2 linked regions of the Cricetulus griseus genome follow. The protein of the gene in region 2 interacts with the protein of the main gene of each other region in a pairwise test. Links are inferred from orthologs where the notes say so. Each region holds a gene or a part of one and is shown on either strand. Other genes may lie near its edges.

Region 1 (4,277 bases), on a different chromosome or scaffold from region 2:
TTTTTACTTTGCATAATCCTGTCTCTTAGGTAAACTCTTGTTTTTGAGAAAAGATTTCATGTAGCTCAGGCTGGCTTTTTTTGGGGGGGGTTTCCTTTCTTTTTGGGGGGTTTTTCAAAACAACGTTTCTCTGTCTCAATTTGGAGGCTGTCCTGGAACTAGCTCTTGTAGACCAGGCTGGTCTCGAACTCACAGATATCCATCAGGCTGGCTTTGAACCTGATTCATGTACACAATGCTGGTTCAAACCCCTGCTTCCACCTTGTAATTGCCGGAATTACAGGTATATACTACCACACCCAGTGGTGTGAAGATATTAAATACTGTACCTAAAGTCACTTGCCTATTTAGTAGCAAAGCCAGTATTTTAACTTGGCCTTTAAGCTATACCCATAACTATCCACTCTACTGTGTATGTTAGAGTTCTCAACAGAAAAGCAGGATCACCTTTCTCCTTGAGGCACCAAGGTATGAAATTGTATTTTTGTCTTCCCTGGGCTGGGGCTTGCTCCTCACCTGTTCATACTGTTTTGTTTCTCAGCTACCTCAGAGAAGGCCTCAGGCCTGTGACAAAGAGAAGATCCAGGTCAGAGAGTGAAGAGAAACCTTTTAGCAAAATAGCTGTTTCCAAATGTCCTCTTGGGATGGCATAACCTCACCACCCCTACCCCATTCCATAGCTAAGATGTTACCACACCTAGAAGCTAGAAATTATCCTACCAGTGGCCCTCCTTCTGCAGAGAACGGACATGGTTCTTGCAGAGCACAAAAGATATCTCAGCCTTCACTTTCTCTCCCTCTTCAATAGGGTCAACAATGAGGAAGTCCCCTGTAAGTGACAAAAGATAAAGGCATTCCCATGTGAAGGAGAAAATCAAGAATCAAGGTCATGGTTCTGTACTGTACAGGGATGCCTCTAACCTCTTTTGATCCAGATGTTCTTTCGGTATTTGGAGGGCATGCTCACCAGGAAGCGCTGCCCTTGTGCCGTCTCTACCTCATGCAGATTGTTGCCGGGAGTCCTCAGGACCTGGTGCAGGAAAGATCAAGAATTAGGCACATCACCAGTTAGATCAAGCACACACTGACCTGCACTGAGCCCTTCCCACATCCCAGGGGTCCGGTGGGCGTAGAGAAAAGCTGAGACCCATGCTCTCACCTTCACTATCTGCTGTTGGTCTGAGGGCACCATGTGCTCTCCCAGCACCTCCTGCACCACGTGTTTTCTCTTGGTGGCCTGAGACATGCTGGGTTCTGTCCAGGGTTGTTAGGACGCAGACAACGTCAGCTCTTCCAGAGTTATGTGGATGGCAGTCTTAGAAGCCAGGACTGCTCTCAGGAGAAGCAGCCTTATAAGAGAAGTGCCACCTTGCCCTGTTAAAAACAAGAGCTTTACAGGACTGGCGACTTGCTGCTCTTGTAGAGAATCTAGGTATGGTTCCCAGCACTCACAGAAGCTACAACTGACCCTACCTCCAACACCCTCATTTTGAGACATACATGCAGGTAAAAACACTGATAAACATAAAAAAAAAAATCACTAAAAAACAAGGCACGTGTTTAGCCAGATGCTGGTGTATGCCTTTATTCCTAGCACTTGGTATGCAGAGGCATGCAGATATTTGTTGCGTTCTAGGTCAGCCTGGTCTACATAGTGAAACCCTGTCTCAAAAATGAAGCAAACATGACGTTTAAGGGCCGGAGAGATGTCTCAGGACCCAGCACCCACATCAGTTGGTTCACAACCATCTCTAACTCCAATTCTAGGGGAATCCAATGCCCTCTTCTGGCCACCAAGGACACCTGTAACACCCACACACAGTAAAAGAAACCAGGAAACATGTCTTATAGTCTTACTTGGAAGAAAGGGGGATGGCTCAAGCCTTAAATCTCAAGACTCTAATCCCAAACCACAGAGGTAGACGAAAGCATATGGAGGCCAGTCTGGTCTACGTAGCGAGATATCCTCTCAATAACTAACAAAAAAAATGTAAATAAGTACTGACGTGACGATGAAACCATACGCACCTCCCAGGCCGATCATTCTGACAACCTTTTGTTTGTTTTTTCCGAAACAGGATTTCTCTGTGTAGCTTTGGAGCCTATCCTGGAACTAGCTCTTGTAGACCAGGGTGGTCTCGAACTCACAGAGATCTGACTACATCTGCCTCCCGAGTGCTGGGATTAAATGCTTACGCCACCACCGCCCGGGCTGACAACGTCTTTGGGGAAGTTTGAGTAAACTACTTTCCTCCACATGCTTTAACACCCCCAAGTGTAGGTCAGCCATACAACAGATGCTCGTCCTCCTAACACTCATGGTGTAGACTGACTCGGCCACCACCGCAGCGCTTCAAGCCGAAAAACCCTTCGAGAAAAGAGCCGCCCACAGCACTCACCCGCTCGGCGTTACACAAGCAAGCTACGTTTTCCAGGTAGACGCTGAACGCAGCTCGTCTACGACTCACTTCAAGACGGAGTCAACAAAAGCAAAGAAATGCGACTGGCAGGTGGTCACGACGGTCGCGCCGGTTTGGACGCCTGGCCTCAGACCACCGGTGTTCCCAGCTGCCGTCAGCCGGCTTCAGATAGACCTGACTCTGAGGAACCCGCGAGAATTGCACTTCCGGGGCTCTCAGTAGCCCTCCGGATGCCCCGCCCCTTCTTTGTCCGTTCCTTTAGTCTTCCCTCGACCAAGTCAGGCCACCTAAGTCTTTAAGTTCCAGGTGCTGGGCAAGAAAAAGATAACAGTATTCTCCTCGGAGGCCTCGGTCTCATAGATGGGAAGCGGGGCCGGAGAAACACGACCATAGAAAGCAGCGCGGCTTCCTGTGAGGGACCGGAAAACAGCGACCTCTGTGGGCTCCGCAGTTAGCGGTTGCGCCTCAACTCTATGGCTCTCTGTGGCTAGACGTGCCCAATTCGGGTATTTTTTTTTTAAAGGCGGCTCCTGACACGACCCGGAAGCGGAAGTTGAAGAACGTTCTAGCAACTTGAGGTATCGGCTGGAGCTGCCGAGTGGCGGGAGGAGCCGTTACGAGAGCCGGAGCTGCCGGTGAGCGTGAGCGGCGAAGTAAGGCTCCGGCTAGGCGGCGGAGGCGGGAGGGAGAGGAGCGCCCGTGGCTGAGGCGCGTCTCTGCAGCGGACCAGCCTGGCCTTGCGGGAGGGGCGGTGCGCGGAGCGTGGGAGCCGCGGCGCGTGCGAGCCGCGGCGCGTGGAGGAGGCGGGGCGGCGCGTCCGGGGCGGGGCCTGGGAGCCGCGAGGCGTGGGCTCCGGCGGGCTGCGGGAGCCGGTGCGCGGCGCCTGTTGGCCTGTGGAGGGCGGCGAGGGTAACGAGCCCCTCTTTTTGCTGCTATTTCTACCACGTGGTAGCTCCGGTCGGGGTCAGTGTTTGCCTGGCCAAGGTCACCAAGAGTGACAGCTTCAGGGCGGGCCCTGGCTGCTGAGGCTGTGAGTCTTTCTCTACGTGCGCCACTTGTTAGTGCAAGCTCATTACCAAATCCCAGGGCCCACAGAAAGTGGAGATTTCAGGATGTAATAGCGGGGGAAAGACTTTCCCTGGCCCCCAATTTTCTCAGGTGTGAGATGAGGGGGAATCGAGGAAGCAGCCACAATAGCTGACCTAGGAGGTTGCCCTTGGGAGTTGTGGTCTTCAGCCCTAACCTGCCTTTTTTTGGGATTCCCAGGTTAAACCTGATCAAGATGACAACCTCCCAAAAGCACCGTGACTTCGTGGCAGAGCCCATGGGGGAAAAGCCAGTGGGGAGCCTGGCCGGGATTGGTGAAGTCCTGGGCAAGAAGCTGGAGGAAAGGGGCTTTGACAAGGTGTGGGGTGGCCACAGATGCCAGGGAGGGGTAGGAGTGAAAGTTGGCAACAGATGATTCCAAGCAAAAAAATTGGGAGTTAGGAAAAGTAGGGGTACGGGGAGGGCACGGACAGTGGTAGATAATTTGAAGTGGTTTGGGGGCATCTGGGGAGGCAAAGTCATTTTTGTTGTTGTTTTGGAGACAGGATCTCTGTCTCACAAGTGCTGGGATTAAAGGTGTGCCCTACTGTGTCCTACCCTTTGAGTGTTTTCAATGCCACAAAGGTGATGAAACTAGGTATAGTGGGTCCTCCCTATGACCCCAGCACTTGTGAGATTGAGGCAAGCAGATTCTCATCTAGTTTAATGCCAGTCTAGTCAACAAAGCAAGACCCTGTCTTAAACAAAACAACCAAAACAAAATGGCCTTGCCCTCTCAAGTGCTTATCAGCTGACTTGCCTAGCTTCAGA
Region 2 (4,134 bases):
GTAAAGCACAACCAGAGCCATAAAGCATAGCGCCACCAGCTAACTTCTGATTGGTTCCTTGTCGAGAGGCAGGCATCTGACTTCTAGTGACTAGGACAAGGTCATGGCAAGCACGTATTACTGTCATCGCTGCTGAAATGGGGAGCTGGTCCCTTCAGTAAGTGTCCAGGGCCAGGGAGCACAGATTTAGGTTACCCCAAACCCAGTGTTCCTACGTGGAAGCAGTTTCATGTAGTTCTTTTACAGAAGAGAGAAATTCATAAATCAAGGCAAGTGTAAAACACATAGTGGGTACATCAGAGAGACAGATACATGGATACTGGGAAGCTTTTCTGTAGGCTCAAGATGCTCTCTGAAGGTCTTCTGAGATTTTGTATTGGTTGAAGCTAGCTGCTGGCTAATTCAATGTCACAGGATGTTAGCTTGTACACAGGCGGCAAGGAATGGCGGCTGTTCTGGAGGGCCGGAGTTTAGCCCAACTTAAGGTAAACATGCCTCCCAACTTGCAACATCCCAACCTCTCCACAGTAAGAAATTCTAATCAGACAATCTGTCTCTGCAGGCACAGATTCCCTCAAATCATAGGGAATCATAGGGATTCCCTTCATACAGACACTACAATCAACTAGGTTTGTAGTTAAGTATTTTATTTTGATGTATTTTTAATTTCCAATTCCAATTGCTCATTTGGGGCAGATGGGTAAGTAATTGATTTTTGTATATTAACTTTGTATCCAGGCAACCTTGTTGTAACTACTTAATACTGTTTATTTTGTTTACATAGATAACCATGCCATCTGTGAACAGAGCTGCATTTCTTCCTTTTCAGTTGTGTATTTTTACAAGTTCCTCATCAGATAAGCCATAAGACCTCCCAAGTTCAAATTTTCATTATATTTGTCATGTGTTTCGTGCTTATTGTTTTATTTGTTACTAGAGATAAAATTTCAAGTTTCTGTGACGCTAAATAATTTAGCTAGACAATTGCTTGCATGTTAATGCTGTCACTATCCGTCACTAGGAAACGTTCAGGTAATGGCCTCTGCCATGGAATGTTGTGCTGGTTTCGCAGATTAACGTCGACCAAAAACCATAGCTGAGTTCTCGTATCGGCATCATCAACTCGCCAAAATCAGTCTGTGTTTTTAGATGAGGATGTGGCTTTCATTTTTTGTGCGATACCGAGAGTAATCGTCAACAGCCAATGAGCATTCGCTCTGGGAACAAAGGGTAGTAAAAAGCCGCGGGGGCTCCCAGGGAAAGGCAGCGGGCGCGGGGTCTTGGTGGAGGATGCTGGGCCCGAAGCTCGGGCGGGCTGCGCCGCGTTGTCATGGGAACGGCGCTTGTGCCTGCGCCTGCGCAGCGGAAGGCGGGGGCGGCGATGACGCGCTGGGCGGGCCGTGAGGTTCGCTAGTTCAGTGCCTCAAGGGAGCGAGCGGCTGGAGCAGCGCGTCCTCGGTGCAGGTGAGTGACCGGGAGGGCCCGCAGGTCCAGGAAGTTGCTCGGGGCACCAGGCGAGCCTGGCTGGTCCCCCAACCCGCACTCGGCCGTTCTTGGTCGCGTCCTTGGCGGCGTCAGGTCGGCCGGGGCGGGCACCGACCCGAGGCTACAACGGTTAGCGGCTGAGCCTTGGCTCTTGGAGGGGGCGGGGAGAGCCTGGGAGGGACGGGGCTTGCAGCGGGTGTGGGTACAGGAACTGTCCCTGGAGGTCTGGTGACTCAGCTCTGCCTTGAAGATTTCCTTCTAATACCGGGAGGAGGGAGGCTAGGGTCGTGGAAAGTTTCCAGTTTTCGAAGTGCAGTTGGGGAGCCGTGAGTGTGTGGGATCCTCTCGTCCTGGCTTCAGACATATAGCGGTGTTTTTCCCTTTGGTAAATTACTTAGAAAGTGTAGTGTTTGAAATTCTTAACATGCACGCTTTACGCCAAGAGCAATGTTTGAAAACGAAAGTTACACTAAAATAGCCGTTGGCCTGGTAAATTGTGCTTTTTAAAGGTAAAGATGATACGTTAAATAGATTTGTACACTCATTTTCTCGATTTAAGGCTGAGGACTGAAAATGTTTCTTTCCATCCTGTTAACAATTTAGTTTCTTAAACTTGTAGGTCTTACGTGGTACGTGAGTATTATTGACCCAGTGGTGTATGTCCGGAAGTGAGGAAGTGGAATGACTAGAAGTTTCAGTAAACAGTCACTCCATTATAACCAAAGTTACTTAACTTTGGAAGCCAATTTTAGCTATGTGCTGGAACCATTAAAGAGGACTTCAAACTCATGAACAAGAAGAGGCTGATTAACAATTAAATGCACTTTTAAATTAGGCAGTCCCTGAAAATGAGCATGATATCATTTCCCCCTTAATCCCTCCCCCCCCTTTTTGCCGGATCTGATGGTGATAACTGCTCATCGACTAGAATGTGTATCCATGACTTTTAACCATTGTGAAGATTTCAAATATATCTCTGTTCTAGCACATCACTGCCTTTTGTTTTTTCTTATACTTGGGTCATCAAAACACAGTATTGATTCCATATCTCAACTACCACCGATGGGTTCTGACAGTATTTTTTTTTTTTTAATTTCCCTGGTCAAATATAGTATCTTTAATAACTTGAGCGGTTTAGGATAATGGTGAGAGAGTATCAATTTTTGTTCCTTATTTAAAGAGAATTTTATTTAGGCTTATAAACATTAAATAATCAGTGTAGTTGATCTTAAAAAATGTCTACTTTACTAGTTCCTTCTGGTAACCTTTCTTTTATGTTTGTCTGCAGTTGGCCTCTACAAACCCCCACAGTAAATCTGGAGTACAAATAGAGCTGTGAAAGGAAACTGTAACACCCTCTTAGTGAGAGATGGTGGTCAGGACTTTTCTAAAAATGCCTCAGGACCAAGTTCTTCTGGGCCATGAAGAATCTTGTTTCTCCTACTAAATAGAAAAATGTTGGTTTGAAGAACTTTGGCTAGTAGGATATCATCGAAAACCTCGGTGTATATCATCAGGTCCTTCACTTTAAGCCTACCATACACCAGCTGGCCTTCCATGCATCACCTTTCTCTTTTAGTTTTTGCCTCTGCTACTGTGGCTGAAAGAGGAAAATTGTAGATTTTATTATGCTCAGCAGCAACAACAACCAAAACCCCAGTTTTTCCAAAACATCACTTCCCTCCATTGAGCTGTGAGTGGGTCAAAGGTCCAAGGAAGCAATGCCATATTGCTTTGAGGGTGTTGAGAGACAGATAGACAATTCTTTTCTTTTTTGTTTTGTTTTTTGAGACAGGGTTTTTCTGTGTAACAGCCCTAGCTACCCTGGAAGTTACTTCATCAGTGACTAATTTTCCCAAATGATGCTAAAAAAACAAGCAAGCAAACAAAAAACAAAAGCCCTAAGATGCCTTTAGGAATAATAGGATGGCTCAGAACGACAGTGCAACAGTGAAAGCATTACTCTGTTTGTCCCACCCAAAGTAACTGTCCTTTCTAGATAACATTTTTTGTAGTCCTTTGTGCTGTTGTGTTTGTTTAGAAGAGATTCTGGTATTACCCAAATCATTAGAAAAAAATCTCAATAGATTTACCTTTGGGTGATGTTTTCTAAAACCTCCTGGTGCATTGGGTTCAGGGCTTTTCATAAGCAATGGTGGAGTATTGTGGTCTCAGCCAGTATGGGGTAGGCCAAACCTGCTTGAGGGATGATGGTTGAAAGCATCGGTTCTTTCCAAGCATAAGATCAGCAGAGCAGCTGCTGTAGACGTTGCAGTCAAACTCCGCAGATGTTTAGGGCTTTGGGTGCTGATTTGACTCCAGGAGCCATCAGGTGCCTTGGGTGATGTAACCCAAGGGTGGTGATGCCATCACTCTCGAATGGGAAGCCTAGAAGCAGAATTCTGTGGCTTAGTTGGCACATGATGGTTTAATAGGAATTATAAGGGATTAAAATGAGAACTCTTCACTGGTGTAATATTTTCAGAATTCTCTAAGTTCACATTGATCATTGTAAAATTCCAGTCAAGGATAGTTTCACAGTTCTTCAAAAGAAGCTCAATACTTTTGACACCTGGAATCAGATCAGAGACTCAGCCCTTGTGACAGGGGGTGGGGGGGCTAGGGAGGTAGGGGAGTGGGGGGTGGGGG

Evidence for each region.
Region 1: the proteins of Sdcbp (region 2) and Eif1ad interact in binary tests that used the Homo sapiens proteins (3 or more experiments, as listed by UniProt). The two-hybrid records come from large-scale screens. The link is inferred for Cricetulus griseus from reciprocal best matches to the Homo sapiens genes SDCBP and EIF1AD.

Annotation. Positions count from the first base shown.
Region 1 is NC_048596.1:53,963,711-53,967,987, forward strand, and holds the start of Eif1ad (probable RNA-binding protein EIF1AD), read right to left. Parts: upstream 2,803-4,277; 5' UTR 2,400-2,802; intron 1,977-2,399; 5' UTR 1,858-1,976; intron 1,375-1,857; 5' UTR 1,247-1,374; coding exon 1,160-1,246; intron 1,031-1,159; coding exon 922-1,030; intron 830-921; coding exon 721-829; intron 565-720; coding exon 517-564; intron 1-516. Other genes in the region: Banf1 (barrier-to-autointegration factor), read left to right, coding at 3,703-3,825.
Region 2 is NC_048595.1:154,160,608-154,164,741, reverse strand, and holds the start of Sdcbp (syntenin-1), read left to right. Parts: upstream 1-1,325; 5' UTR 1,326-1,464; intron 1,465-4,134. UniProt on the Homo sapiens protein: Multifunctional adapter protein involved in diverse array of functions including trafficking of transmembrane proteins, neuro and immunomodulation, exosome biogenesis, and tumorigenesis.